Linked DNA regions of Saccharomyces cerevisiae S288C. The protein of the gene in region 3 interacts with the protein of the main gene of each other region in a biochemical or structural test. Each region holds a gene or a part of one and is shown on either strand. Other genes may lie near its edges. The genes, in order: ERT1, GSM1, RDS2 and PIB1.

What was found.
Region 1: the proteins of RDS2 (region 3) and ERT1 form a complex in vitro, tested with the Saccharomyces cerevisiae proteins (one study listed by BioGRID).
Region 2: the proteins of RDS2 (region 3) and GSM1 form a complex in vitro, tested with the Saccharomyces cerevisiae proteins (one study listed by BioGRID).
Region 4: of the proteins of RDS2 (region 3) and PIB1, one has a biochemical effect on the other in vitro, tested with the Saccharomyces cerevisiae proteins (one study listed by BioGRID).

What each region holds. Positions count from the first base shown.
Region 1 is NC_001134.8:696,947-701,848, forward strand, and holds ERT1 (Ert1p), read right to left. Parts: upstream 2,998-4,902; coding exon 1,408-2,997; downstream 1-1,407. Other genes in the region: YBR238C (uncharacterized protein), read right to left, coding at 1-356; THI2 (Thi2p), read right to left, coding at 3,544-4,896. UniProt on the Saccharomyces cerevisiae protein: Transcription factor which regulates nonfermentable carbon utilization. Activator of gluconeogenetic genes like PCK1. Involved in restriction of Ty1 transposition.
Region 2 is NC_001142.9:227,900-233,491, forward strand, and holds GSM1 (Gsm1p), read right to left. Parts: upstream 2,983-5,592; coding exon 1,126-2,982; downstream 1-1,125. Other genes in the region: mitochondrial elongation factor MEF2, read left to right, coding at 3,402-5,592. UniProt on the Saccharomyces cerevisiae protein: Transcription factor which regulates nonfermentable carbon utilization. Binds specifically to 5'-CGGN(8)CGG-3' and 5'-CGGN(9)CGG-3' sequences in the promoter region.
Region 3 is NC_001148.4:298,593-303,450, forward strand, and holds RDS2 (gluconeogenesis transcription factor RDS2), read right to left. Parts: upstream 2,637-4,858; coding exon 1,296-2,636; downstream 1-1,295. Other genes in the region: ODC1 (mitochondrial 2-oxodicarboxylate carrier), read right to left, coding at 1-911; COX11 (Cox11p), read left to right, coding at 3,124-4,026; 60S ribosomal protein uL18 RPL5, read left to right, coding at 4,529-4,858. UniProt on the Saccharomyces cerevisiae protein: Transcription factor which regulates the expression of genes for gluconeogenesis, the TCA cycle, and glucose metabolism. Involved in the cell wall remodeling process and drug resistance.
Region 4 is NC_001136.10:1,087,442-1,091,898, forward strand, and holds PIB1 (phosphatidylinositol-3-phosphate-binding ubiquitin-protein ligase), read right to left. Parts: upstream 2,639-4,457; coding exon 1,778-2,638; downstream 1-1,777. Other genes in the region: SSF2 (rRNA-binding ribosome biosynthesis protein), read left to right, coding at 140-1,501; RAD34 (Rad34p), read right to left, coding at 2,992-4,457.

The DNA.
Region 1 (4,902 bases), on a different chromosome or scaffold from region 3:
TGGTTATTTTGATGATGGTTACGATTGTTATTGTGGTGATGATTACGGTTATTGTTATGATGGTTGTTACTATTATTGCTGTTATTCTGAGCTAGATGATTGTTGTTGTTGGCTCCAATGTTGCCACCAAAGTGAGGAACAAAATGGTTGGCTGGGCTTACCTGATAAGTAGCGAGGGCTGGATTGTTAAAAGTAGCAGGCGTGTAAGGAATGGCATAGTTGTGTTCATGGTGCTCCATAGCGATTGTACCGTTAAATTTCATTGGATGAGTCAGCGAATTCTTTGTCGGATGTGGAACAAACTGGTTTGGGGGTTTGCCCTTCAGTACTTGTGTTTGCTGAGCTAAACGGATCATAGGATCAGATTTGCAAGATAGAAAAGCAATTAGAGTAAGAAATATCAAGCTAATCACACGTTTTTAAAACCTCGATCCAACTATAGAACGTACTGTATTCAAGAAAAAAAACTGAGAGAAGAATGAAAGGAAAAGGGTTTCTATAGATATAACCAATGCGATATGTAACTTCAGTGCTGAACGACAAAGTTTCTTTATTGCCTTATTTTGACTTTCTTCGAGATGTCCATGGCATAACTTGAGCAAGGTTGAAAAAATTTTCTTTTCTTTTTTTCTCCGAAAGAAACCCGTTTCTTTTGGTGCACACACAAAGCTCGTGCAGAGTGCTGTCCTCTGAGAAATTACCGCAGAATCAGAGGATCTATGAAATTGCCTCTCTTGTACGAGCAGTTCACTGCAGGCACTCGTCCCTTCACACGGAAAAACAATATGGGAAAAGTTGCCTGAAAGTTTAAGCTTTTTTACATATTATCAAGGCAAGAAAAGAAGAGAAATTTTTCGAGAAAATGAACAACGAAGCAAACAATATGAAGAGGACTGCTGCTATTTTTCCAGTTAGGTACCATGTGGCATGCTGTTTTTCCGCAGTTCGTTATGTAAGGTGGAAGGCGGTGGTGTGTGAGACATGCCCTGTGAGACATTGGAAACTCATGCGTACAGAAAGTGAAACTAGCTCAATTGGTTGAGTTTTTTGATGGTATACGCCTGATGTTTTTTTCGACAACAGGTGAGTGAAATAAAACGAAGAGCAAAAAAAGAAGAAGAAATTTAAGAAAAAAAAAAAAAAAAAGGGAAGAAAAACGGAGCTACCCAATATCGGAAGATTCGTAAAGGCCGCCATATACACAATAGGGGCCCTTCGTTATATGTGCTCGAGCCTCTGGATATCGACCAGAATGAGCAGACGCCTACGAAACTGGTCAAGGCTTCAAGTAAAATTGCTGGAATCTGTTAACACTTTTAAAAGAACACAGTTCTTGACTTACTTTTGGTCTATGCATAGGTATTATATAATACGAGGTAGTAAAATGAGAAAAAAAGAAAAAAAAAGTCAATTGAGTATGGGCATGAAGTTACCCAAGATCATGAGGGGCAAACCAGAGACATCTCTTTTTAATGTCCACATACAGCAACAATGAATTATCTTGCCCTTGATGGGGCTTAAGAGCCTGCAAACTTTCATCTTCTCAGATCCTCTGAAGTCCCTATATGCAACTTTAGAGAGCGTTTTGAAGTAATCGCGTACACTTTCATCGTCCATGATCTCTACGATAAAAGTCATCTTGTTTAGTAGCTCCTCTCTTGTCCATCCGCATAGAATTTCAAATTCCTCGTTGACATAAGAAATTTGACCATTTCTTCGCCAAATACATGTCGGGGTACCGATTTGTGCAATAAATTTTACATATTCTAATAGAGTTCTTTGGTAGCATTGCTCCATAAAAATCATGTCCTCCTCGGTTAAAGTTACAGAACACGCAATGAAAATGGGCCGGAATTCGGCAATGGACCGACACATCTTCACCAGATCCTGCTGGTTGAATCGATGCTTTAGGTACACCAAAAGATGGTGGAATCCAGGTGTATGCGAAAAGGGGGCATTTATGGAGGTGTATATTTCCATTGGAGTAGAATAACGTAATGAATGTTCCCATTCTACATTGCTCTTGATGTTGGCAGCGTCTGGTGAACAGCTTTCCAGGGATACAGAGACCAAATGGTTTTTCCTCCGCTTTAAGGGGATAGCCAACTCGGGAAATGTTACCGTTTCGCTGTTCAAGTAATATTGGTTTATGCTTGAGTCCCAATTAATTTGGGAGCTCTTTTCAGATGGGTCCCGTGGCAATAATCTTTTAAAGTTTAAGGAATTATCAGCTGAATCAACGGGCACTAAGGGGAAATGGTTCGCGAAAAGATTAACTTGCGAAGCTACAATCTTGGCTGAATTTGGTCCCAGTAGAATAGAATAAACGTTTTGATTGGAAGATGGATACGGATGTGGGGGTATGTTTGCTCGCTGTTCGCTGTACAACTGGCGAATTTTCTCCATTTCTGTTTCTTCAGGGCTTGTATTTGTGCCCGTAGGGCTATTGTTACTGCTATTGCCTATTGTGGAGTTGGATGTGGAATTGGTGTTGGAGTACAGGATGTCAATAGGGATCTTGTTAGACAATGTGTCTTGATAGATGATATTCGACAGAATAGAGTACTCGGAATCTGCAGCATTCGATAGGAATTTAGCTTTGTGAACTATATGTTGTGGGCTGGTGAATTTTTGCTGTTCTCCCATGTTATTTACGTTGAGGCTACTATTGCTGGAGTTGTTATAAATGGGTATCATGATCTTGCGGGGTGGAAGGTCCGGTTGTATGTTCATTGGGAGCTCTCTATTCGGTATTCCAGCCAAGTACTTGCTTTTCTTTCTTGGAGCGTCAACGCATGTAGCCGTGAGGCCCTTGCTGATACATCGTAAGCATGGCCTTTTGGCCTCACATGACACATGCAATCTCGAACAGTTCACGCATGCCACGTTTGTGTTTTTTCTCTTTTTTCTCTTCTTTTTTTCGAGAGTATGATTTGTATTTGCAGATGTATCTGGGTCAGTTGATGTTTTGTAATCGTTTTCATCTGGAGTGCACATCACGATGATTCATCAATGTATTTTATTTTTATACCTTCGTGTGTCTGTTGTACCCAAAAGAAATGATAAAAATAGCTCAAGAGTATCCTGACTTTATATAACTAGCAATTTTATCTAAGAGAGTAATGCCGTTGCACCGGCTCTTGTTTAGTTTTTTTATGTGGTTACTCTTTTACAATATACTAAAATTGCAACTCATTTGCTTTTTTCATTTCTTTTCCTTCAATTTTTTTTTTTTTTTAGTCTACGGCTAACAAAAAGCATAGGCTCAGAATGATAGATAGATATCCGATAAATGTCAGTAAAGACAAAGAAATCAGTAAAATAAACGTTTCACCCTGGCAGATAGGAAACCCTATCTCCCAGTGATAAACTTTAATTTTTTTTCGTGCATATATATATATACATATATAATATAAAACAAAATATCATGAATTTCTATCTAAAGTAGTGGGAAAAAATATGTCGTTAAAAATGGGTATAATATCCAAGCAAAGCTTTTGGCTTTTTTTTTCTTGAAATGAGTGAAGGGAAGGCTCAATAAGCCTAGTCCTGCATGGCATATACATCCTTGTAAAATTGTTGATTACACTTCAGTTGTAGCTGCCAGTACCGCAGTTGGGAACATGAAAGTGTGGTATCTTGACATGAGCAAAGTTGTTGCAATATTGTATCTTTCCAACTATTCACTAGGCGCTCCGTGACCAAGACATGTAACTCCGACGTAAGCTCGTCCTGGTAGGGATCCTCGAATAAGTCGGCATTCCCTAGCAATCCATTACAATGGTACAGGACGTCTAAATCTTGTGTATTGTTTATGATAAAGTTGACCAGCGGATACATCGAAAATCTCAATAGCTTTTGCTGGAGAAACCACACTCTTAGAAGCTTTGTCAAGTTGGGGCAGGTATATCCATGAATGATGACCAGCATTGTTATAGCTATGGATTGCCAATCGACACAACTCCAACGAGCGATGCACTCTTTGAACAGGCACGAGGCCATATTGATGTCCGGGTCGTCAATTATTTTCCCAAGGAAGCGTATGAATTCCGTGGTCAACGAGTTCCTCATCTTATTGATGAACCACGTCGTGTATTCTTGTCGGTTCAATATCATGTTCCCGTAGCAATTAAACCATAGGATCCCGAAAATTTTGCCTTGGATAATATCGATCAAAGAGGTGCTGTCTTCTGGCGGCGATGACAGCGCTGCAGTAGTGGTTTCCTCTGCTGACGACATCGAATGACCCGGCGACGGCAGCTGATCTGTAAGAGCAGAGGTAACTGCAGCCGGATTGGCCCTGAAAACTGAGTAAGGCCCGTGTTTGGAGCAATTGAGGTTGACCACAGATATGTCGTTTTCCACCATATTAAGCAATTCGTCCAACTTCTTGTCTATGCGCTTTTGAGTATAATCTCTATTTGTCATGCTACCAAAGACAGAGGCCACAGCGTTATTGTATATCTTCAATCTCCGTACGCTTATGGTGAATGTATTATCGTTAGGAAGCGTAGTTTCCTTACTTGCCTCGTGCACGCTGTCTTCGCAGTCACTTGTCGGGGGTGATAGTTGTCTAAAATGGGTCATTTGTTTAAACCTTGATTTTGAGATTTTCTGGCACAATGGTTTCGATTTCGATTTGCGAGCCTGTAATGAACTGATCAGTGAATGCTTGCGTACTTTGTAGATGTTCTCCTCTAACCACATAAGTCTGATATCGTAACTACAATTATCTCCATGTTTGGCACACAGTGAACAGATTGGTCTATTCTCGTCGCATCTGCGTTTCTTGAATCTGCATGCCCAGCACCCAGTAAATGTCCTCCCCTTGGTGGGGGGCACTTTGGAGGATGACGCTACTTTCTTGCTTCTCTGCTGCCTCTTACTATTGACCATTTGGTT
Region 2 (5,592 bases), on a different chromosome or scaffold from region 3:
ATATTAGTATATGTACCAAAGTAAATATACTCAGATGCCATCTCGATATACGCACCGTACACGAAAATGAAATTAAAAAAAAAATGTTGGAGCACAAGCAAGGCAGCATCAGAACGTACCGTCAGTTGGTACCAAGACAAGTCCATCCCCGTAGGCACTACAAATTATGGGAATGAGAAAGTATACAAAATATAAACTGTCTTATCATGAAGAAGAGTCGCTTAGGAATTTAAACTTTCAAATCGCATTACGCAATTCTCTAAAAACGCGAACCTTTCCCTGATATGTAATCAGGGAATTTCCTCAGAATAATATTCGATCTAAGAAACCGGAAACGAAATGAAAATTGTTACTACTTTGTTTAGGAGTAGTCAAAGTTCATTCAGCTATGGGTTATGATGAAATGATTTAAATTATTCTCGCTCCAGTATTAACTTATTACGTAATATGAGCTTAAAAGAGCAAGCTCCTCATCACTCACACTCCATAACATGAAGAACGAAAATAACCTAATCTTTAGGTTTCTATGGTATAATGAAATTAATATTATCTAAAGATAGTATTAACCACTACTGATGTTAGCCTTTTGAAAAAAAATCAAAAGAAAAATTTGAATTTTAAAGAAGAAGTAACAAAGGGAAGAAGTTTTTGCCAATCGGACAACACTAGCTCTATTTATACTTTTCTGTTGCTCCAAAAACAGGAAAGAACAAATTTTTCAATTTAGTGTGACCCGGCTAATAATAAAGAGGGAAGTAATAGGTAGGGTTTTACTGGCAAGAAATCCATATTGTTGCTCCCGAATAATATTATAAATTCTTGTAATTAATACAAAGTTTCTAGATCCACCTTGTTTAAAAATATAAAGTTATGCTTAAAATTCTTCAGGGAAGAAGGTTTTCAATGGATGATTTTACATTTTTGACGAATTCCTGAGAAACTAAATTACAATGTAAAACTGTACATAAATATAAATATTATTGTTGATACGGAAAGTAAAATAAAAAAAAGAAACGCTAAAGAATACTGAATTGCCAACCTAAGTAAAAAATAAGCGATAAAATCAAAGAAACGGACAGAATGCATATAAAAACTGTAATCAGTAATAAGCCCAAAAAATAGTGATCAGTCCATTTCAAAAATTGGTAAAAATTGTCCCATTACGAGAATTGGGATATTAAACGAGTCCCTTTTTACTGTCCAACAACAGGCACACTTCAAATAAAGACCGTTACTTAATAATAAATTGCACTTAGTAAAGATTGCTTTTCCATCCGTAGTAAAAGAAAACCCTTCTGTAATTTTTGACGAGGTAGAAGAACATGCGTTCAACATCAATAGTTTTTTCCTTTTATTGATATCATTGTAACCAAATGCCAGCAATTCGTTAAATATTTGAAAGTAATTCGAAACGCTTTTATGATCCAGATATTCAAAAATAAAGGAGGTGCGGTCTAATAGTAAATTTTTGTTAAAACCTGTTAAAGAATAGAATTCGTTACTGACAAAACAAATCTCGCCTGATCTTCTCCAGATGCACATCGGTGTGCAGCTTACTAATTTTGCCATGTTCTCCAAATCTAATAAAGCCCTTTGCAAGGTAACTTCCTGTAATAGCAAATCCTCTTCAATCATATTGGATGTTAACGAAATGAAAATTGGAGCATATCTTTCTAGTATAGAGCGTATTATAACTTCTAAATCATATCTCAAATTATGCTTTTGGGTACTGTGTTCGTCTTTTACTGAGGCAGATTTATCAATTTCAGCTCCTTCAAGAAATTTTTTTCTTAAAGTAGTTAGCAGTTTGGTGTATGCGAGCTTGTAATTATGCGGTTTTATTAAACATTTATTGTCATATAGGTCTTGAGGAGTCTTTACTAATTCACGAAACTTTGAAGGTGATATGAAATCGGTATCATGTTTCTCCAGATCTGCATCGGAGTGACTAGAACTGTCACATTCGCTTTCCAGTTTGGCGTTATGTGATGGGTGTGTATTAGCGTTTGCTCCACGATTCAAATGCAGCATGTCTAAAGATATAAAGGGCCTAGACACTACTTCATCATATGTATTGAAAGTAGAAGTGGAATGGCCGATCGAGGAGTCCTTTTGGTCATTCACGCTTTTTGTCGAGTTTAAAAGGTTCGTTAAATGCAATGACGAATTTCCCCGTGTAGATGCGCTAGGATTGGGATATTCTGATTCTTGGAGGGAAAATATCTGGGAGTTATTCGGTAAAAACGGCGTTGAAATATCTACTATATCCTTTAATTTCATGTATTCGTCATTGCACCACATACTATCAAAGTGAATATTAGTTTCGTCATCGACATCATCGTCACTCTTATTACTATCGTCCATTCCAGAGTGCACAGGAACGTTTGAAGTAGCAACCAAACAATTGGTAGCCAGCGGCTGCTGCATTGCTTTATGTTGCTCTAGGAAATGCGACTTTAAATTGAGAGTACTCTTCCGTACGGTGGGTATGATGGGGTCATTCATTAAATGTACTGCTTGTGAAGCTGATATATTATTAGAAGTATTTTCTAAGACGGTCTGGCGGTTATTCGTATTGAAGTTCGTAATACGTGGAATAGATCCAGCGCTTTGAAAGTTATCATTTATATTATACGTATATTGGATATTCGTATTGTGGGCAGGTGTTTTGCCTGGTTTTTCCTGATCTGAAGATAGAAAATCTCGCTGCAGATGTACGCTTGAGGGGGATACCGTCTTCGACGGCACATCATGTATTACCAGCCTCTTCCCCAAATTCAAGTATGGTTGTGTTCCATGCTTCTCAATTCGTTTTCTTGATTTCCTTTTCTTATCTCTGCAAAACTTCCCAATATTTCTTTTTAAACAGTTTTGACATGGCCTCCCTACGTCACACTGTATATGTTTGGTATGACAGAATTCACAAGCTGTCTGGATAGACTTTCTCGTCTGTTTCAACTCTGAAGGTAGTTTTTTGGTCATATGTATATATATTCTTGTATGCTGTATCCAAATATATTATTTCTTTACTCCCTTTATTGCTAAGCTGTAATACGTTAAATCATTCGAAATATGATCTATTCATGCAAAAACTTGATGTGTGTAACAAAGAAAATATCCGGTTCAGAGATCCGAACAAATGATAGTCGTACCCTTCCCCTTAGTGTTAACTCGTTTAAGCAGGCTATGATGATTAGTAAATCGTTTCAGCCTCTTCTCATTTCGACAATTTTTGAGGCCTTCCCTTAGTGAGAGGGGAGATAACCAATCAGCACAGAGAACGACGACGGCGCGGAGGCTGGGCGGTTAAAAGAAGATAATGTGAAATAGATCAACAAGCTTTCTGGTGGCAAAACGGCAGTCAGAGATATACAAAAGGGGCAAGATAAGTGAGGGAGGCTATGTGGAAATGGAATGTGCGCAGATGGGCGGGCGCAAGAGTAAACATTAGCAAGAACCGATTAAGTGTAATTAACGTTGGAAGTAGATACTTATCGACCGCAAGAAGTCCACTGTCTAAGGTTAGAAATATAGGAATTATAGCCCATATCGATGCAGGTAAAACTACCACAACAGAGAGGATGCTTTATTATGCAGGAATCTCAAAGCATATTGGAGACGTCGACACTGGCGATACGATAACTGATTTTTTAGAGCAGGAGAGATCCCGAGGTATCACAATTCAAAGCGCTGCGATTTCATTCCCATGGCGAAATACTTTTGCAATAAATCTTATTGATACGCCGGGACATATAGATTTTACTTTTGAAGTGATTAGGGCTTTGAAAGTTATTGATTCATGCGTGGTCATTTTGGACGCTGTTGCCGGCGTAGAGGCACAGACAGAGAAGGTTTGGAAGCAAAGTAAATCGAAGCCCAAAATCTGCTTTATCAACAAAATGGATCGTATGGGGGCGAGTTTCAACCATACAGTCAATGACTTGATAAATAAATTTATGAGAGGAACAACTACCAAACCGGTGTTGGTAAACATTCCTTACTATCGAAAACAACCGACTAGCAATGATTATGTTTTCCAAGGTGTTATTGACGTCGTAAATGGGAAGCGATTAACCTGGAATCCAGAAAATCCTGATGAAATTATCGTGGATGAGTTGGATGGTACTTCTCTTGAGCAGTGTAATCGTTGTAGGGAATCGATGATAGAGACTTTGACTGAATACGACGAAGATTTAGTCCAGCACTTCTTAGAGGAGGCAGAAGGCGATTACTCCAAGGTTTCCGCACAGTTTTTGAACGCTTCAATAAGAAAACTGACTATGAAGAATATGATTGTACCTGTCTTATGCGGTGCGTCTTTTAAAAATATTGGCGTGCAGCCTCTATTAGATGCTATAGTTAATTATCTCCCTTCGCCCATTGAAGCCGAACTACCAGAACTAAATGATAAAACCGTTCCAATGAAATATGACCCCAAAGTTGGATGTTTAGTAAACAACAACAAAAATCTTTGCATTGCTCTTGCATTCAAAGTGATTACGGATCCAATCAGGGGTAAACAAATATTCATTAGAATTTATTCAGGTACACTAAACAGTGGCAATACCGTTTATAATTCTACTACTGGGGAAAAATTTAAATTGGGTAAATTACTGATACCCCATGCGGGAACATCACAACCTGTAAATATTTTAACTGCGGGCCAAATCGGATTGCTTACTGGCTCTACAGTCGAAAACAACATATCTACTGGAGATACACTAATAACGCATTCGTCGAAGAAGGATGGGTTGAAATCACTTGATAAAAAAAAGGAGTTGACGTTAAAAATCAATTCTATCTTCATTCCCCCACCAGTTTTTGGTGTTTCCATCGAACCAAGGACTTTAAGTAATAAAAAATCGATGGAAGAAGCTTTAAACACTTTAATTACTGAAGATCCCAGTCTTTCAATTTCTCAAAATGATGAGACTGGCCAAACGGTTTTAAACGGTATGGGTGAATTACACCTTGAAATTGCCAAGGATCGATTGGTTAATGACCTAAAAGCAGATGTTGAATTTGGTCAGTTGATGGTGTCCTACAAAGAAACAATTAATTCAGAAACAAATATAGAAACGTATGAGAGTGATGATGGATATAGATTCTCCTTATCTCTGCTACCAAATTCCGATGCCCTTCCTAACTGCCTTGCATATCCATTAGGAGTCAACGAGAATTTTCTGATAATGGAAAAAAATGGTAATTGGGATAAAGAATGGAAATACCAAGTTTCTTTCGAATCAATTCTAAATTCTATTATTGCAAGTTGCATTGTGGGACTTCAAAGAGGCGGAAAAATAGCTAACTTTCCCTTATATGCATGCTCCATCAAAATCAATAGCGATTGGTCAGTCCCACCTGATATTGAAACTCCACAAGAAATCTTAAAAATTACTAGAAACTTAATTTTTAAAGCTCTCAATGACTTAAAACCTGAAAAATACAACCTTCTGGAACCCATCATGAATCTTGATCTAACAATCCCTCAATCTGATGTTGGTACGGTGTTACAAGATCTAACAGGAGCAAGAAAGGCTCAAATTCTGTCTATTGAAGACGAATCAAGCGTGTCAAATTCTGGCGCATCCA
Region 3 (4,858 bases):
ACTTCTCTGAAAAAATCCATGACGTTCGTGAAAACTACCAACAATAACCCACCACCGGGGGCAAGTCTCATGACCTTTGGCGCAAATCCCTTATACAATGCTTTAAACCCTTCCTCACGGTAAACTAACAGCACTGAAGGCAGGGACCAGTTGTACTTCCTCAGCGGCCCGGAACTTCTTTGGATCCTAGATTTTACCACGTCAAATGGTGTATTCAACAAGCACCCGACAGTGCCACCAATAGCACCTGCGATCAAATCATTTCTGGTCTTTTCCGTGCTTGTTTTAGCCGCCGGCAAAAGCTTCCGAATTTGGAATATTATACCGAAATAACCGGCATTCCAAAGAACGTGTCTCCAGATAGTGGCTTCCAACCCATTGAAAAGTGACAAAACACCACCTTTCACAACACTATTCTTTACAACTTCAATGGGTGTCTTGAACTGTGAATTCACATCCTGTAATCTAATCTTCACTAGTTCAAAAGGCGCGACGACAAAGGCTTCCACGGCGCCAGCGGACGCACCACTGTATATGGCGATTTTTTGAGTCATCTCCCCATTGGGCGTGGGGAAAATCTTTTTATAAAACGTTTGGAATGTATCGTTTCCGGAGAACTTAATTGCTCTTTTCGGAGCCTCCATTAATATAGGCGATGTGATACCCTTGTAAAGATGCGAAAATCCTTCCTTCTTCACAATTTTTGTAAGACAATCCATCACGCCCGTGTAGTGATCTACTGCTGCTTTCGCTGCAACAACAGCGGGATGACCTTTGGTTGTCACTTGTAATTGCATTCTTGTCTTCACCACGTCCAATGGATACATCACCAATAGCTCCGAGACGCCGGCAATGGCACCGGCTGTGAACTGGTATATGAACGGCAAAGGTCTATTATCTATAGATGTCATCTTACAGTTCTTTTTCTTTCACCCTCGTTACAGTTCTATCTTGAGAATAAATGAGATAAAGGTTCCCAAAAGTCACTGATATATATCAACGGCGGTCACCCTCACAGAAATACCCGAGAATCTGCCCTTCGCCAAATCAGATTCAGCCAGTTCGCAGTTTTTTTCCCTATCTCTGGTCGCCGCATTATGAAAAGATCCTGGGGTAATAATGGGAATGATTTGAAAAAAAACAAATGCTGGTAGAAAAAGGTCTTCGTATTGCTCGTAGTAATACGGCTATTTCAAGTAACTGCTCGGGCCAGCGGCTTGAGGAAAAAGTAAACCCGTTACTTTGCTTTTTAATGACGCTGGAAATACCAATTACCTACTATGTATTACTTATGCTTATGACAAAGGGATGAAATTCCCGACGATGCAAATTGGGATGTTGTACCTATCCCTTCTGATAGTGAAACTAAAACAGCATGGCCGTTTGCGGATTCCATCTTTGGTTCGAAGACTACAACTTGTTAAAACAGCCTTCTGACCCTTATCAAACGCTATGGACCCGTATTTTTCCCAGAAATTCACAGCGCTTTCTTCTGTCATCAACTCGTAGATCGCAAGCTTTCCATCGCGTAAATCATCGACTGTGCAGTCAACCAGTGAAGCAAACTCTTTATTGGCTCTGTAAATCTCACCGGTACGCCTACACAAGCACGCTGGCATGCTCATAGAGGTGAAAACACGATCATAAGATAATAACATCCTCTCGAAGCTCTCCTCCACTAAAACTAAGTCAACATCCTTCAATGAACGCGCAATGGTTCTAAACGCCGGTCTAATGGTGGATAGTGGTTTCAGAATCCTTTGCTTGGAAGACTGATTCATATATTTGTCCATGTAGTCTTGTAGTCTTGCATACCCCTTGGCATAATTATACGGCTTCAATAATCCTGCTTCAAGCTTCGCATTTATGACCAACTTCAGCCGGTGTTCTGGTGTCATCTCTGTTGACGGATCCGCCGCTGTTAAAAAGAATTGTTCCTTCGGTGTCGGTGCACTGTTTTCGTTTGCATTCGCTAGAATTCGAGACTCTTCCTTTTCTTGATCTTGTTTATCCCCTTTCGAGATACTATTGGAAGAACCTGACATAATAGTAGGCGACCTATTTTCTTGTCTTGCCACTCCTATTTCATCCCTACGATTGTCGTTTTGGTACTCTAATGGCGATTGTGTGGTTTGTGAGCCATTTTCCAAATGAACATTGCTCGCACTGCTGGAACTTAGTGATGTTTGAGTCAATAGAGGATTTTCTAGCATAGAAAGAAATTCATTCAAAGAACTGAATTCCGAACCAACATTCTCGGACACAAATACAGGTTGTTGCGGAAGCAGCAAGCTGGTTGTATCATTTACAAGAGAGGAGTCTAGTTTCGGTGACAGTTCCTCTCCATATGTGGATCCACTTTTATTGACTGGTTCATTCTGATAGTCAGACGGAATTCCAGTGTGTGCTTTATTTGCATATTTGCCCTGTATATTATTATCATTCGGAGAACTTTCGTGCTGTGATGGCATCTCATTTGGAACCGCAATATCATCTTCCCTGCATAAATGGGCAATATCCCTCTTGACGCACCTAGAACATGGACGTTGCTTATCACATACAACATGTGACCGTTTACAAAATAAACATGTTTTAAAAGCCTTACTGGCTCGTTTTACACCACTGTTTGCTGACATTATTTCGTCAGTTTATATAAATATGTGTATTTTGTGTTGATTAAAATTAAAAAAAACTTTATCTCACTGGCAAAGAACTCCCGCAAATTTTCTCATAAGAATTACTTTCTTCTTCCATCCCAGAGACCTCATCCTTTTTTCTAATATTCAACTATTTTTCATTTTCCTTCGTACTCTTTGTTTTGCTTTTTCTTGTTTTCTGCCATTCCAAAACATTATTCTCCCCATCTAAGGAGCGGATCTGTAGGAAAAACAGCGTAACCATTGGAAAACCCTTTCCCTAACCAATGCCCTTTGACGGATGAAACATGATATATCTTTTAAGGACATAGATACTAACCAATACAAATCAAAGAACAGTGAAGAGTCTAAAGGGGCAGCGAACGCTTAAGTATCTTCTTTAAAGTAATAATATTCCTGTCGCAGGTGAAATAGCACTTCAGCGCACAAACAAATAATATTGCAGCCAAAATTCCCTAATATTGTCATGATAAGAATATGTCCCATTGTTAGATCTAAGGTTCCACTGTTAGGAACTTTTCTTAGATCCGACTCATGGTTGGCACCTCATGCGCTAGCTCTAAGGCGGGCCATATGCAAAAACGTTGCATTGAGAAGTTATTCAGTGAACAGCGAACAACCAAAACATACATTTGATATTTCAAAACTTACTAGAAATGAAATCCAGCAATTGCGAGAGTTGAAAAGAGCAAGGGAGAGAAAATTTAAAGATCGTACGGTTGCATTTTATTTCAGCAGCGTCGCGGTACTTTTCTTGGGTTTGGCATATGCAGCGGTACCACTCTATAGAGCCATTTGTGCTCGTACTGGTTTTGGTGGGATTCCCATAACAGATAGAAGAAAATTTACCGACGATAAACTCATTCCTGTAGATACTGAGAAGAGAATTCGTATCTCATTCACCAGTGAAGTATCACAAATTTTACCGTGGAAATTCGTTCCTCAACAACGTGAGGTTTACGTTCTGCCTGGTGAAACAGCCCTCGCTTTTTATAAAGCCAAGAATTACAGCGATAAAGATATTATTGGTATGGCTACTTATAGCATAGCGCCTGGTGAAGCAGCTCAATACTTTAATAAAATCCAATGTTTTTGCTTTGAAGAACAAAAGCTAGCTGCCGGTGAAGAAATAGATATGCCTGTCTTCTTTTTTATCGATCCAGATTTTGCTAGCGATCCAGCGATGCGAAATATCGATGATATTATTTTACATTACACATTCTTCAGAGCTCATTATGGTGATGGTACAGCTGTAAGTGACTCTAAAAAGGAGCCTGAGATGAATGCAGATGAAAAAGCAGCGTCATTGGCTAATGCTGCTATTTTATCCCCAGAAGTTATAGACACAAGGAAAGACAACTCAAATTAATTGTAAATACAAAGTCATTCAATGTACATAAATACTGTTATGCTTTTGAATTAAGTAAAACACCATGACTTCATATTGAGATGTTTTAAGCATATAATCACGGCACCGAACTTCTTGTAATCATCAAATCTTTGTTTTCTAGCCGTCATAGAAATGAAGAAATGAAGATTCTTGTTCATGTGATACAGCTTTTCTAGACAGCTAACTTGTACATCCAGACATCCTAAAACACCCATAAAGCAAAAAAAATTATTGAAATATTCTCTTTTTTTTCTTTTTTTTTTTTCTGGTGGCTTTCAATGCGGAATCGCTCACATCCGAAAATTTCAGAGGCTTCACTTAGCGTCGCAGATCCCAGTAGTCGCCAGATGCTTTGAAAAAAAAAAAAATAAATAGAAAAGTTTGTAGACATATCCGATGTAGTATATTTCAGAGGCCAACCTTTACTTTTGTTTTCTCCTACACTTCAAAATAAAAGACACCGTCACAAATCTCAGCAACAATGGCTTTCCAAAAAGACGCTAAGTCCTCTGCTTACTCCTCTCGTTTCCAAACTCCTTTCAGAAGAAGAAGAGAAGGTAAGACTGATTACTACCAAAGAAAGAGATTGGTCACCCAACACAAGGCCAAGTACAACACTCCAAAGTACAGATTGGTTGTTAGATTCACTAACAAGGATATCATCTGTCAAATCATCTCTTCTACCATCACTGGTGATGTCGTCTTAGCTGCTGCCTACTCCCACGAATTGCCAAGATACGGTATTACCCACGGTTTGACCAACTGGGCTGCTGCTTACGCTACTGGTTTGTTGATCGCCAGAAGAACCTTG
Region 4 (4,457 bases), on a different chromosome or scaffold from region 3:
TTTTTAGTGTAGATGCATCTCATCGACGGGCTTGTATGAATGATATTAAATAGGCAAAATAAACTAGTCTAGCTAATATTCGACTAAATTGCAGCTGCTAGGTCACCATCCCGCACATACCTTAGATATTTTGGAACTAATGGCTAAAAGAAGGCAGAAAAAGAGAACGCATGCGCAGATCACACCCGAGCAGGAACGAGATATTCCTAAATCCATGGTAATCAGAGTGGGACAAACTTCATTGGCTAACCATTCTCTAAACCAATTAGTAAAGGATTTTCGCCAGATCATGCAACCGCATACGGCCGTAAAACTAAAAGAGCGCAAGTCCAATAAACTGAAGGATTTTGTTGTTATGTGTGGCCCATTAGGTGTTACGCATCTTTTCATGTTCACTCAATCTGAAAAAACAGGAAATGTCTCGCTAAAGATAGCTAGAACTCCACAAGGTCCTACTGTTACTTTTCAAGTATTGGACTATTCACTGGGTAGAGATATCAAAAAATTTTTGAAGAGACCTAAATCGTTAAATAATGATGATGTATTAAATCCTCCATTGCTAGTGTTAAATGGGTTTTCCACATCGAAAAGATCTGATGAAGACGATCAGGATGTAAACGTGGAGAAGGTTATTGTTTCCATGTTCCAGAATATTTTCCCACCTCTGAATCCTGCAAGAACTTCGTTGAATTCTATCAAACGTATATTTATGATCAATAAAGACAGAGAAACGGGGGAAATTTCTATGCGCCACTATTTTATTGACATTCGAGAAGTAGAGATCTCTAGAAATCTAAAAAGGCTTTATAAAGCCAAAAATAATCTAAGTAAAACAGTGCCGAATTTGCATCGAAAAGAAGATATTTCTTCTTTGATATTAGATCATGACTTAGGCGCCTATACATCAGAATCTGAAATTGAAGATGACGCTATTGTGAGAGTGGTTGATAATCAGGACGTGAAGGCAAAACATTCTCAAACTTCGCTGTCGCAAAAAACACCCGTTAAAATGACAGATAACGAAGAACGTGAAAAAGGAATTGAAGAAGAAGATGTGGAAATGGAGGAACCTAAGCCTTCAGAAAATTCGCAACCAACTCCACGTAAGAAGGCTATCAAACTGACTGAATTAGGACCAAGATTAACTCTAAAACTGGTCAAAATAGAAGATGGTATTTGTTCAGGTAAAGTATTACATCATGAATTTGTTCAAAAATCAAGCGAAGAAATCAAAGCCTTAGAAAAGAGACACGCTGCAAAAATGAGGCTGAAGGAACAAAGAAGAAAGGAACAAGAAGAAAACATTGCTAAAAAAAAGGCTGTTAAAGATGCTAAAAAGCAACGTAAATTGGAAAGAAGAAAAGCTAGAGCAGAAGAACAGGGTGAAGGTCAAGGGAAAGATGGTGCAATGAGCGATGATGGATCTTCATCGAGTGAAGATGAGCATTATAGTGATGTACCAGAGGATTTGGATAGTGACTTATTCAGTGAAGTAGAATAATGCACGATATGTATATATATCCTCCGTACGTAACATCACTATCCATATAGTAGCCATGACTCCGATGGACTTAAAGAACCAGGAAGTGTCTGTTTATTCATAGGTGAGGGAACACCTCAAAGTAAATATTAATGAATATATAAGATCATAATTAAACAAATATATAGAAATCTTTTACAATTAAAGAAAAAAATAAAAGAAAAGGGAAGTTAAAACTTCGATTATTAACAGCTGAAAAATTAAACTTTGTAATGAAAAGCAAATTGGGAGTTATCGTTAAAATACGGCATCATGGAAAGGACAAAAGTTCCTTTTAACAAAAGCATGTCCATTTCCCTTCTGGGCTGCAGTCATTTGCGCCCTTTTGTGAAACCAGTTCTTAATACACTTATAATGGAAAACACACAAGCATTCTAGTCTCCCAACTTTCTCACCGGGTTCCATATTCTCAAAACAAATCGGGCACTCCTTAATTGCATTATCTGTTGTATTAGGCGATATCTTGTACACTAACATTCTATTTTGAAAGGCAGGGCTTTCTTTTACGGAGTCATCTGCTGCATCTGACGTATTCGTATGTTGTTGGGCATTTTCAGCTCTCTGTATGCAATCCTCTACGTGCTTTCTGGTCTCTTCTTCATCAGGAAACTGTGTGAGATCTGAGTTACAAATAGGGCAGAAGTGATCCTCCTCGTTTTGTGAACTTTCTTCGCTCCTGCATGCCGTACCGGATTGATCTACCGAATCTTCCAGGATTTCCGCGTCTTCATCAGTGTTGCTATCTGGTGCAGAAAGTGCAAGTGCATTTGGTGGTACCGAAGTTTGCGATAGTCGTACATCTCTGTTGGTGGAGGATACTAGTAGATTTAAATGAAGGAGGTTATCGTAGCACTCATTACAAGTTCTATATGGAGGCGATTCCACGTCGCTATTTTTTTTCTGCAAGGCATGGACTCTCTTTTTATTATAATTAACAAAATTTTCGGTACAAGACGAACAAAATATCCTTCCACAACACCTACAATGGTGTCTTCTTACGAGAAACGAAAAGTTCGTCTTGCATTGAAAACAGCTGTGAGCTTCCTCGTCTGCCTGCCACCTGGCAAGATTATTGATACAGTCCTCTTTAATAACCATGCGCTTTAGTTCTTCATATGTTCTTTTCTAGCAGAAAAAAAAAAAAAAAAACAGCAGTAGTGTACAGTGTTTGATCAGGTTATTTCTTAATCGTCCGTCCCCTGTTTACTATAAATCCCGAGAATAGTTCTACTTTTTCTTTTCTATTCTTCTCTTCGGTGAGCTGCTTCGATGCCCATTACCCGGATTCCATGATACTCCGCTATTTCACTGGCCCTTATCGAAGATTTCCTTCTCCAGAGATATGATTATGCACAGGCTTCCATACGCTCTATCGATCGTGCAAACATTTATACCCTCTGCGAAACAGCGTCGAATCCATTTTACTTTAGAAAAGGTGAAATACGATGTAGTCAATGGTCGTCCAACGTTTCTTCATTATTTCCAACATTACCGTACTCAGCATTTAATCGATCGTTAACTCGTAGCTTTCTTAATAGAATGTCCCAGAACGAGAGTCCCAGTAGTACTTTAGTTTGCTGCTTCAAAAGCTGGACTGCTTTATAGTCTGTCTCTTTGACTAGAATGCTTTCAATTTTCGGAATGGCATGGCCTTTTTTCTGTTTAAAATCAAATCCACTTACCACATCCAAATACTTGATTTTTTGCATCTTTCTTTTACCTTTGTTATACTCCTTTATCAGGCATTTAATATCAACTTCTTTGCTAAGCGGTATTAATTCAAATCCATCAGGCTTAGTTTCTTTCGAGTAAATTTCGATGTTGCCAAATTTATTTTTATAATGCGACAAATCTGTTATCACATGTTCCTGTCCTAAATGATCGCAATACGTGCTGGGGTATTTAGGAGACTTCATTGTTTGCTCATACGAAAACAATTCTTTGATAACGTACTTGTCTAGGTTTCTTACCATCCTTTCCCTCATCGGTAGATACTTTTTACGTTTTAATGGTTGAGCATTAGGTAGAATGGAACGCCCTAATATTGCCCAGTGCTGTTTACTCTTTAATTGAATGACGTCTCTTCTCCAAAATATGGGCTCTTGTGAATTGTCTCCCTTAGTAAATGTTGCGGCTTGTTTTGCACATGCTTTTAATACTTCATTAGACTTTAACAGAGAGGGAATCACGAAATTATCTGTTCTTTTAATCTCTGTCACACTCTTTGGTAATGTAAAATTAGTTAAAGCAATCTTTTTCATTATTGCGTAATGATGAACAGATGCTTTTTTCTTGTTCAAGACTTTCAACCACTTAGATAGATATTGGTAGCTAGTGTAATGCTTCGATTTCAAAATAGGAGAAGACTCAGATAATTCAAAGTACCTGTAACAAACATTTGGCACATATCTTGGTGAAACATCTTGTAGTACCTTTTCAGCATGATTGATACGGACTACATAATGAAACTTTTGGTTTAGGTTGTACTTCATGTCTACCGAAGGTTGATAAGTAGGGACAAACTGATCTTCGCGTGTTTTCAAGACCATTTCACGTTCACCCAGATGGGCTATAGGGTCAATGATGTATAATTCACCATCGCTCAAAGTAGGAACTTCTAATTCAATCCAAAAATAAGGTTGTATTAGGTCAGAGTCAAATCTGTTGGGAACTTTGCCAATACCATGTTCGATTTGCCACTTCACCTTATTGCACCTAATATCGTAATCGTGCAAGGGCAAGGCAAAGCATAAGTAAAGCTTCTTAGGCCCCGGTAGCACATTTTCTAAGATAATAAAGAAGAACAACGTTAGAATATCTCTGTTGGCCATTTTCCTTTTAGCCATCTTGCGAATATCTTCAACACCATGATTTATCAACGGCCTATTTCCATAAAATTCTTGTTGATTTTCAAGAA